Linked DNA regions of Canis lupus familiaris. The protein of the gene in region 3 interacts with the protein of the main gene of each other region in a biochemical or structural test. Links are inferred from orthologs where the notes say so. Each region holds a gene or a part of one and is shown on either strand. Other genes may lie near its edges.

Region 1 (4,275 bases), on a different chromosome or scaffold from region 3:
CACAACACAATACCATGTGTGTATCTTTAGTATACTTCTTAAAGCCTTCCAAATCTTTTCAAGATGATACCACCCTAGATTTTTGACACAACGGAACTACAAAGAGATAAAGAAGCCAATGTCTTATAATTAGGAAACTATGATCATTTCTGAGATCTTTTGTGGGAAGTGGAAACTCAAAGATCCCACAGGTCAAAGGCTGAATACAGAACTTAGATGGGTTAACTGCATTCAATCCATGTGCAGCAGCACATCCTACCCCCCACCCCCCAGCCCCCACCTCTCCTGAAAGTTGTTCCAAGCTTTCTGCAACACTGCTTCCTTAGAATCCTCTCTCAGACTTTCCCGCATATAAAGACCTAGTGGCTGAGAGGCAGTACTAATGGACAATCCACCTGACCACAACCCAAGATTCTAGCCACCCGATGCTACTGTAGGTGTCAATGTCTCTGGCAGGCCACTGCCCGGAAGGTGAACTACACTGTCTGAAAGCTCCGCTAGGCTAAGGGATTGGGAGAACCAGACTAAACTTTGCAGCCCTTTGGGCCAATCCTAATGTGTACACACTGCCACTCCCACCTCCCCCACAAAGCAACCTTTACTGACCTGTGCCCTTGGGAGGCCCAGAGCCGACATAATCGGAAAGGACTGTGCCACTGCTAATGTCGTTGCCCTTCATGTTGACCACCAGAAAATGGTGCCATTCCCTAGGACGAGGAACACAAGACAGCACCACAGGAAGTAAGTACACACTCACTGCACAGCCAGCATGCTGTGAAACATGCAATGAAACACATGCTCTGAACTAGGCTGCAGTGATGAACGAGACTGAGAGTCCTGCCCTCGTAGGCACAAACCTCACTTGGTCTGTAGAAGAGAGGGCCCCGTACCCCCCTCCCTCCTTCTCTCCCTCCAAGATGCTCTAAGCAGTATCAAGCAAATTTTTTTCCACAGGACCAGACAATAAACGTTTTAGTCTTTGCCATGCACACTGAAATTTGAATTTCATGTAATTTTCACACGTTAACAAAGTATTATTCTTTCAATTTCAATCACTTAAAAATGTAAAAACCATTCTTAGCCCATGAGGCTATACAAAAACAGGTGTTGGGCCGATGTAGCTCTCCACTATAGTTTCCAGACTCCTGCTCTAGGGACTGAAGGAGGAGGAAATGGCTTAAGCGTGGGTGCAACCATCCCAAACGGGGTCTAATTCTGCTGGCACAGCATGTCCAGCAAGGGTTTTACACACTGCCAGGAAGCACCAGATCATACTTGGATGACCTGGTGCTTCCCAATCTTTCCTCAACTTGCCTGTATTTGGGGTCCTTCCTGCTGGGAGCGTCTGGATCTGTCAGGACCAAGGTGTAGAGTTTACCTGGATCAAGACCATCCCATGCAATACTGGTGGGCCGGTTCTTAACCTGTAGGAAGGAACCACTTTGGAGTTAAAAAGAAAAATGCTGAAGAAGCCAACGCTAGGGATCCCTGGGTGGCGCAGCGGTTTGGCGCCTGCCTTTGGCCCAGGGCGCAATCCTGGAGACCCGGGATTGAATCCCACATCGGGCTCCCGGTGCATAGAGCCTGCTTCTCCCTCTGCCTATGTCTCTGCCTCTCTCTCTCTCTGTGACTATCATAAAAAAAAAAAAAAAAAAAAAAAAAAAACTCCTTAAAAAAAAAAAAAGAAGCCAACGCTATTTGATTTCAGGTTCTTCAGAGGTAAAACACAGTAGATTATTAATAAACGCTAAAGTATTGACTCTGCTAAAAGCCAGGAGCTTAAATTCAATATACATTAATTTATTTTAGTTCCAACAACAGTATAGGGCTGGCATGTTATTAACAGAAAGGATCTCAACCCTGGTGGTGATGGAGTCTTCCAAACTACAACCTCATATGGTATGGAATGACCGAGTTTCTAGATCTGGTGACCAGCAGCTGAGCTAGGGCCTGCTAAAGTGAAATCTGAATTAACTGGACACTTAAAAGTGCACAGAAAATGAGAAAGTCGAGGTGGCCAGACTGGACAGTGCATCCGGGAAAATGGCAGGCTGCCAGAGGGGCACTTTATATTTAAACATCTAAAGCAATAAGCTGTGTAAATATCCAAAGCAATAAACTGTCAGCGCAGTTGATTCACATCATTGTCCCGGAGTTTCACGACCAACAACTGGCAAGTACTGGACGCTTTAGTTTTCCTACTTGCGGTCGCCAGAACCTGACCTGGTCGCGCGCCAAACGGCAGAACAAGGCCGTTGCCCTAGAGCCTTCCAGCTGCACAAGGCTTGCTTAGCTTTGGGTGGCTTCGTGCCCTAGCCCGCGAAGACAAAAGGAAGAATCGCTGAGCGATGCTGGTCACCGGTTACATAATGCGTCACATGCCTTCGGATGGGGCTTTTGCTCCCCAAACTGAGGCCTAAAATCCTGAGACCTGAGGGGAGGTCTGGAGCCCAAGGGGTGGCCACGACCCAGCACTTCTCGGGCACCGCCGCCTCCTCGCCCCCGCGCCAGGCCCCCTGCCCGTGGCCCCGAGCTGTTTCTGGGCCTACGCCCCAGCCTACGCCTTGAAGTGCCCGGGAAGTAGATCACTGTCTCCTGCAGGCCGAGCCCGCCCGCCACGTGCGGGTGCCCGCAGGTGCCCGCAGGTGTCCTTAGGCCTGCGGGGTGGGCACCGCGACGCCCTCCCCTCGCAGGAGCCGGCGCGCGCAGGCCGGACCCTCCTCCCCACCTCCGCCGGCCCCCCGCCCCGCCGGCTCCACACCTCGAGCAGCTGCACCCCCTGCGCCCTTGGGTACCTGGGTGGGCGTCAGCACTTTGCCCAGCTCGTCGACCTCCGTCCCGGTGTATTTGACATGCAGCGCATGCTGCGGCCGCTCCTCCACTTCCTGCAGGCTCAAAGGCCCGGACCACTTGCCGAGGTCCACCGGCATCACGGAGCCGAGCTGAGCAGATGAGAGGGAAGAGTTTCTGCAGACGGGACACAGGCACGCAGCACCGACTGCCAGCAGTCAGCAAACTGGCCGGAGGAGGCGCGGGCCCAGCGCTGGGGAGGCGCAGGCGCGGGGCCCCAGTCCCGCCCCACCGGCTGCTGCAATCACAGGTGAGGCCCGACCCACTCTGCTCTCTAATTGGTTAAAGCGGGTAGCGCGAGGCGTCTCGTGCTCCGGGTCAACGCGTAGGTTTTGCCTTTCTGTTCGCAGCGTGAGTAATTTGCTACCCGCCGCCGCCGGGGCCCATGGGAGCTGTGGCTCGGTTTGCAAGGCCCCTTGTTTCAAGAAATGAAACAAAAATTGCTTTGAATTTTGTTTTGTTTTGTTTTACCACTTTGCAGGATTCTTTGTCTATTTTTTAAGTGCAGAAAAAGCCTTGCTATTCTCCCCACTTCTCACAGCCAGCTTGTTTGCTCTCGCCTCTCTGTACTTTTGCGCATGCTCACTGTTTTGGTAACTGCTGCATGAGAGGGCCTGTGTCGAACTTTTGAGCATTCTTCTCAACGCGCAAATATATTTACACATATATTTGATCTCCTTGCCCCTGCTTGGTGCAAACAAGATTCCTGGGAAGTGATTTTTTTTTTTTTAATTAAATTTTCGAACCATTCTTAACTCCTGTTTTGCTGACAAGGGGCTCTACCTCTGCCAAAACTGCTCTCCCGGTGGCCAACAAATGCTTTCTTTTTACTAAATATAATGGGTACTATTTAATAGTCCTTATCCTGTTGATGTTAGGACAGCTATTGACAGTGATAACCTCTCCTGCCTAGGGAATTAAAAAATTCTCTTGTTTTTAGTGTTTATATACAAGTTCATTGTAGAAAATTCAGAGGAAAAAACCTAAAAGTAAAAATTTTTATTCCACTATTTGGATATAAACATCAGTAACAATAATTTCATTCCATTTATTCACCAAAAAATTGCATTAAACTCCGTTATAGAGAACCCTGGGTGGCTCAGTTGGCTAAGCCTCATACTCAGTTTCTGCTGAGGTCATGATCTAAAGATCATAGGATCCTGTGGCTGGTGCTGGATGTGGATCCTGCTTAAGATTCTATCTCTCTCCCTGTAAGCCTCCTTCTAAAAAATAAATTCTACCATTATAGACTATATAAAAAAATAGATCATTATTTTAATGACTTCTAAATGCACCACAATTTATTCAACAATTCTCTTGATGTTGGACATTCATGCTTTTTGTTGATTTTTCCTTTTTATAAATATCAAGGAAATGAACATCGTTATACACATATATTAGAAACACTTGGTAGATAGTTTCAGG
Region 2 (2,838 bases), on a different chromosome or scaffold from region 3:
CTTGGCAGGGGAGGTCCTCTCCAGACAAGGTAGGCTGCTGGACAGCGCAGCCACACAGAGAAACAATGAGAAAACAGACAGGGGCTCTACTTAGGACTGCAGACAACACTTGTTCATCGAGAACAGGGGTAGGTTCAGGAAAACTGGCAAGTGGCCAATTGTCCCCAGCGGCCCTGGTGAAATCAGGTCACTTCTGTCCCAGAGAGGGCAGAGCTGGTGGAGCTGTTCTTCAGGGCGGCCCAGCCTCTCTCCGCCTCACCTCACTCGGCCAGAGCCAAGTTTGTGGACTGCAGCCGCTCTGTCTCCTGGCAGATGTTCTGCTCCACAGTGTCACACTCAGCCAGGAATGCCTAAAACGTGAATGCAGGGCAGTGAGGGACCATCCAGGACTAGCCATTCCCTGCCCATACAAGGCTCTTGCTCAGCCATTATGGGGAACCCCTGGGTGAATGATTTAAAACAGGCTATAGAGGAATGGAGCCAGCCTGGGCTCCCAGATAAGGGGAGGGAGGCAGAGGCCAGTGTAGGAGCAGGGTTTCTGACAACAATCCTCCAGAGGGGTGGTGAGGACAGGAAGCCTTGCCACTGTACTGCACAATTTCAGGGAACATGAATAGTGCCTCCTGAAATTGTGTCATATGGCAGCTATAACTGCTCTCCAACAATCTTCCTCCCCAATTAATTTAAATTCAAATACAATTACAGGGACATGAAAGGAGCTCTTCTCTTAGATTCTGGACTCATGAAATAACAACCAAAAAATGTCCATACCACACATCACACTTTTGCCCTACCCTACTCTGAACAGATAAACACACACATTAAACTTTGAATGCTTGATCACACAGCTCACCTGAACCCTTTTCACCAAACCCTTCCTTTTCAGTCTACTGTCTTTGAAATTTTCCGGCAGAATCTGTGGAAGAATAAATTGACACATAAATAATCTCAGTAAGAATGACATAACAACATGATGAAATACCCACAGTACACCAAATGCATCATAAGTCACCAACATGAACGAGACTTGCATTTTCAGGAATGATTTCCTCCCTTGATCTGTATTCCACATGGCCCTTCCCATGGCTCTCACCCCTATAAAAGCTCCCTTTGCTCTCAGTGTCTGGGCCATGGAAACTGATCTGTACCATGGACTTTGTCCTTTCTCTCCTTTCTATGTACAGATACTACGTCCTGGCCATGCCATGAGCTCACTGTGCTTATTCTTTACAACCTCCCTCACTCCCCGAGAATCCTATGCAGAGTAATTCACCCTCAAAAATGAGGCATCTAGCTGGAAATATCATTACCATCTTTTCTGTAAAAGGGATCATGGAGTTGATGATTCCCAATAGTCTCACAAGAGACTGAGTCTGGCTGAATTCTTTACAGATAATGAACCCAATGGAATCACCAGTCATATGAGTATCATGAAGCCCTCTGTTTCTCTGGCCATAAAATCACAGTCCATTTGGGTTCCAACTTTGTGAGGATTAGATGCTTTTAGGAAATATAAAAATGACAAAAGCCCTACGTTGGTGGATGTGACTGCTTAAAAATCAGGAACTATCTTGTCTTTCTGTGTATCTACCAAGGACTGAGCAGTGTCTCGCACACAGCAGGTGCTCAATATCCTCAGACAGTAAGAGTGCTTTACTGAAAGAGTGAAACTCACTGAAAAAGAGTCAAAGGAGGGCAGCCCAGGTGGCTCAGCAGCTTAGCGCTGCCTTTGGCCCAGGGTGTGATCCTGGAGACCCGGGATGGGGTCCCGCATCGGGTTCCCTGCATGGAGCCTGCTTCTCCCTCTGCCTGTGTCTCTGCCTCTCTCTCTCTCTCTGTGTCTCTCATGAATAAATAAATAAAATCTAAAAAAAAAAAAAAAAAAAAAAAAAAGAGTCAAAGGAAACTAGTTCTTCTCAGCTGAATATTTACTTACCAGTGTGTCAATCTCTTCCAAGATCTTCATAAATTGCTCGATTGTGGCTTTTACTCTCTTATCAAGTTTGCAGAGAGCTTCAGCTTGCAAATCCTTGGCCAGAAAACCCTGTACAGGAATAATGCATTCTTGCAAGGGTTCCTTGAGGCTGACAGAAAACTTCATGCCAAGGCACTGATGAAGTAGCCACACACTGAGCCCACATTCCCCCCAATAGGCTAGTCCAGACCTCAAACCCAGAATTTCATCTCTTGGAAAAAACAGAGCCACCCAAAGCACTGTAATAGGCTGCAGGCCACTATCTCACACGGCCCACTGGGGCTGCTAATGCCTCCTGAGCCCTGGCTCCGATGAAGCCTTCAGTCACCAGTGTATACCCACATAGAAGCAGATGTTAAGAACATAAGGTGTAGGGATGCCCGAGTGGCTCAGTCCATTAAGCATCTGCCTTCAACTCAGGTCATGATCCAGGGGTCCTGGGATCGAGCCCTGCCTCAGGCTCTCTGCTGAGTGGGTAGCCTGCTTCTCCCTCTGCCTGTCAATTCCCCTGCTTGTGCTCTCTTTTTCTCTCAGTCAAATAAGTAGATAAAATCTTTAAGCCACAAAACAAAACAAAATACAAGGTGTAGAGTCTGATAGGCCCAGGCTTGAATTCTGTCATTTACTGGCTTGTGATCTTGTACAAGTTACTCAACCTCTCTGAGCCTTAATGTCCTCATTTTTATTTATTTTTTATTTTTTAATTTTTTTAAAAGATTTTATTTATTTATTTATGAGAGACACACACAGAGAGAGGCAGAGACACAGGCAGGGGGAGAAGCAGGCTCCATGCAGGGAGCCCAACGTGGGACTCGATCCCAGGTCTCCAGGATCACACCCCAGGCTGAAGGGAGCACTAAACC
Region 3 (4,093 bases):
TATTATGTATGGCCTATTATGTTCCTAACATGCAAACAAAAGCCCTCCCTCATGTAACATTTTTCTATTTTTAGGCAGGTTACTAACAGTTTTATCTGAAATTAAAATATACTATAATCTACTACTAACAAAATACCTGAAATAGTAATTTAGAGTTATTAACTGTATTTTCCATTTAATAAGTAACCTAGTACTTCTGGAAAAGTCAAATTTAACTTCCAAGAAGTTGATGTTTAATGTTCTGAGCAAACCATCTACTTTGGATTTCACAAATGGCATGTTTTAAACTAAACACAACTAGTTTCAGAGCAGTTGTAATACAATACGTGATGTTCCATTCTCCATTTCATCTTTTAGATACTTTTCATCATAAATAACCAGCTTAGTCTGTTTTCCTGTTTTCTTCTGCTAAACCAAATCCCACAAAATATATTCAAACGTATTTCACTCAAGCCTACTTTGAAAGCTTACACTTTTCAACTACTGACAAAAGTTTTAACAAGGCTAAGCAACCCCATTACAATTTTTAATCACAAACACCACATACCTAAAAGATAAGCTTTTCCAGCAGAAACACTAACAGGTTTATTTTCCCAAGTATCCAGTGTTCAATTGGGTCAAATGTTTCTGTTGCATTTTAAACAGCACAGCCCATGAAGTGATAAGGATGAAGACAAGCCAAAAGTATTTTAGCGTTCTTCAGTGGCATATAATCATCACAACCCAAGAAAAACTCAGGAACTGCTAACTGAAGTCTGTTAAGACCAAAATAAATGCACTTTAGCATATGCATTAATCACAACAATACAACGATTTGGGGTAAATTATGCTTATAGAGCTAATGACTTTATAACAAAATTGGAAACCACGGAATCATTGCAAAGCAAGTTTACTATATACAACATACTTAATAAATTAAAAATACTTTCGACTGTTTCACATAATCTCCCAATTCCTACATGACTGGGGAGTGTGGTTTTTATTGCCAACGGCCATTTAAAATACAGTATTAGCAGCGTGCACTACATGCATAAAGTCAACATTTTGGTGAGCAAGTAAAACCTTAGAAAAATCTTTTACTAGAACACCTAAGAATATGAAGATCAGTTGATTCACCGCTGTGTAAGCGCAAAACATCTGACATAAAGCGCTTATCAAAAATGTTCTTAAATGAGTTTAACAAAGTAAATCTTTTCAATTTCTACCAGCTTCAACATCATCAAGACAAGAGGAAAATGAGTCATCACCATGAAAAAATTAGAATATTCATTTAAAATAATCCAAATTAAATCAACTAGTTCACTCTCTCCAACAAAGACCCTTTACAACCTTTCTTTTAGACCCTCCTCCCTCACCGCTTCCTTCCTGAGCCCTAGATGACTTGCTGCGCCCCAAAGTCATCCCAACTCTTGCGTGTCTGTGCCTCTGTACCAGCGGCTCCCTCACCTTAGACTGCGCTCCCCGCCTCCTCACCTGGTAAGCATTTACTCATCAGTCAGTCCAAAACTGGCCGCAAAAGTTCCCTCCAGTGTTCAGGCTTCCTCGACTCCCCCAGGCAAAACTAGCAGTTCCAAATTCCCACTACGCTCGGTAAGTCCATCCTTATCACAGTGCATTGTTTTCACGCCTTGGGAAAGAAAGACGAGCAGGTTCCCTCCACTCAGCCCACAGAGGACGAGGCAAGCAGAAATACTCCATGAACGTGAGCTGAATTCGTCCCTTGGATTAGACCCTCTAGAACCCGGTCACATCCCAAGCAGACAGAGGGGCTTCTAACACGCTTCCCACCGGAGAAATGAATACCAGAGGGCACACCCAGGGCCCTGGAAGGAGAACAATGAATGAACACAGCCGCCTCTCCGCTCCTGATGTCCAAACTCTTTCTGGGCATCGACTAGCTCTGCAAAACCTCTGCAGCTGCAGAACCGAAGCGCCCTGGCGGATCTCACTTTACACAAAAGACAGCGCTGGATCTTCGTTCCAAAGCATCCCAGGGCCAAACCTCAAGATACGCATTCCAAACCTTTCATCAGTGACCCACAGAGTCCCCAAACCCAGGGCAAAGCCCCCTATGCCTTTGTTGGTGGGGCACTGACCCACCTCCTCTCGTCCCCGATTCTTCTCGTCCCCCCTGCAAGGGTGTCACTTGAGGGACGGCCTCGGACCAGATGCGCGACCGCGACCCCCTCCGCGCCCAGAAGAAAAAGGAATTAGTCCCTCCGAATGACAACACCTAGAACAGGGCAATTCTGGGGCGGACTTCTCCCATGGCCAAAATATAAGGAATGTGCACCGAGTACAGGGTGGCGCTAGCACGTCTCCCCGAAACACAAGGAAATTGGAGTGGGGATGTGGAAAGTCGGCTCGCCGGCCATGACACCGGGCCCCAGGGCGCCCGCCCGCCCAGCGCCACCCGGGGTGACAGCGGCCTGGCCCGGCGCTCCCCCGGCAGCCGCGGGGAAGCTCCATCAGCGCGGCCCAGGCCTGGACGCCGCGGAACTCTGCCCCCTCGGCCCCGCCGCCTGGCTCCCCCGGCACCCAGGGCCCGGCCCTGCCGCCCACCTGAAGGAGCCGAGCCGCCTCCGTGTCCCGTCGTCCGGCGGCGGCGTCTGGTCCGCTCCTCCTCCCCGCGGCGGGTGAGGGAGCGGGAGGCGGTCACATTCGGCGCGTCCCCAGCCCAGGGGACGGGGCCCCGGGCAGTCCCCGCATCGTCGCACTCGCGCTCCGCGCCTCGGGGCACACGCCCCAAAGCCGGGCCAGCTGGCCCTCTTCCGGGCCCAAGGAGAGCGGCAGGAGAGCCTTCCCGTCTCACGCTCGCCCTCGTCTCACTCCCGCCATCTAAGATGGCGGCCCCAACGCCCGCGACGAAGAGCCTCTCGGGCGGCCCCGGCAAAGAAGCCCTGCATTCGGCGCTCCTCCTCCCGACCTGCGGCGCCACCGGCTTTCTGCTTCTGCGCGAGCCGGCCTGGCCGCGGACGGCACACTTGGCTCGGGCATCTATCACTCTAGCCTGAACGCGGGCCCCGCCTCCCGGGGGGCGTGGCCTCGCGCTGTCGCCCGTCGCCATTTCGGGGCCGTGGGGGCGGTGGGAGCGGTGGTGGCCGGCGCCCGGGAGAGGGGGTAGGAGGCCGGGAAGAGCCGGGGTTTGGACTCCCCGGAGGGCGAGAGGCGTCGTGGCGAGAGGAACGTCTCCCCTTTTTTTTTTTTTTTTTTTTTTTTTTTTTAAGTTTCTTTATATAAGTAAGTAATCCCGACAGCCTGCGTGGGAGGCGAACGCGAGTCTCCGCGATCCGGAGTCCCATGCTCGGAGCCCGCCAGGCCTCCCGACCAGAGGAGTTGTCTGAGCCTCAGTTTCTAGCAACTTCGCTTTTCTAAGATGCTAATTTTAGAGACCTGTGTACCCATGGCACACGCAGGCATGTGCTAAGATGTGTGTTGCCCTATTGTTTGCATTAGACACGACACTGGAAAAGATGTGAGTTAATTGAGTGGAATAACTAAGCAGCGCTACGTCCGCAGCGCGGGGGGCAGGGGCGGGGGGTGGGGTGGGGCGGGGCGCTCCCCCTCCGCCCCGGGCTCAGGTCGGGATCCCGGAGTCCCGGAATGGAGCCTCGCCTGGGGCGCCCTGCGCCGCCGGGAGTCTGACTCTTCCCCCAGCTTGTGCTCTCTCTCAAATGAATCTCTGAAAAAAGAAAGAAATGAAAGAAAGGAAGGAGCAGGATCTATGCACGGATTTTTTTTTTTAATCCAAAACATTACTTTTTTTTTTTTTTTTTTGGTGAGTAGAACGTTTTGTATGCTACGTTCTTACTCGTTCCAACACAGGCACACGAAACTACCCAATGCCGTGTGCAACGTTCATTTGTTTAAATGTTCTATGAGAGCCTGTTGTATACCACACATTGTTCTGGGTATTGGGAAAGCCACAATCAGAAGCCCTACCTTCTAGTTTATAACAGAGACCGAAAGTAAAAATAATAAATTCAAATAGTAATAACGTGCAGTGTATAGAAAAATGAAGGTGAAGCGATGTGAGATAAAGACAACTCCGTGAGGACCGACAGGAGAATAAATACAGAGGAAAGAGCAGAGG

Evidence for each region.
Region 1: the proteins of RAF1 (region 3) and PEBP1 form a complex in vitro, tested with the Homo sapiens proteins (3 studies listed by BioGRID and IntAct, with this or other methods). The link is inferred for Canis lupus familiaris from reciprocal best matches to the Homo sapiens genes RAF1 and PEBP1.
Region 2: the proteins of RAF1 (region 3) and BAG1 form a complex in vitro, tested with the Homo sapiens proteins (2 studies listed by BioGRID). The link is inferred for Canis lupus familiaris from reciprocal best matches to the Homo sapiens genes RAF1 and BAG1.

The regions. Positions count from the first base shown.
Region 1 is NC_049247.1:14,854,872-14,859,146, reverse strand, and holds the start of PEBP1 (phosphatidylethanolamine-binding protein 1), read right to left. Parts: upstream 2,931-4,275; coding exon 2,796-2,930; intron 1,425-2,795; coding exon 1,315-1,424; intron 708-1,314; coding exon 607-707; intron 1-606.
Region 2 is NC_049232.1:50,587,422-50,590,259, forward strand, and holds part of BAG1 (BAG family molecular chaperone regulator 1), read right to left. Parts: intron 2,045-2,838; coding exon 1,937-2,044; intron 917-1,936; coding exon 854-916; intron 351-853; coding exon 261-350; 3' UTR 1-260. UniProt on the Homo sapiens protein: Co-chaperone for HSP70 and HSC70 chaperone proteins. Acts as a nucleotide-exchange factor (NEF) promoting the release of ADP from the HSP70 and HSC70 proteins thereby triggering client/substrate protein release.
Region 3 is NC_049241.1:5,965,714-5,969,806, reverse strand, and holds the start of RAF1 (RAF proto-oncogene serine/threonine-protein kinase), read right to left. Parts: upstream 2,929-4,093; 5' UTR 2,563-2,928; intron 756-2,562; exon of another isoform or gene 548-755; intron 1-547. UniProt on the Homo sapiens protein: Serine/threonine-protein kinase that acts as a regulatory link between the membrane-associated Ras GTPases and the MAPK/ERK cascade, and this critical regulatory link functions as a switch determining cell fate decisions including proliferation, differentiation, apoptosis, survival and oncogenic transformation.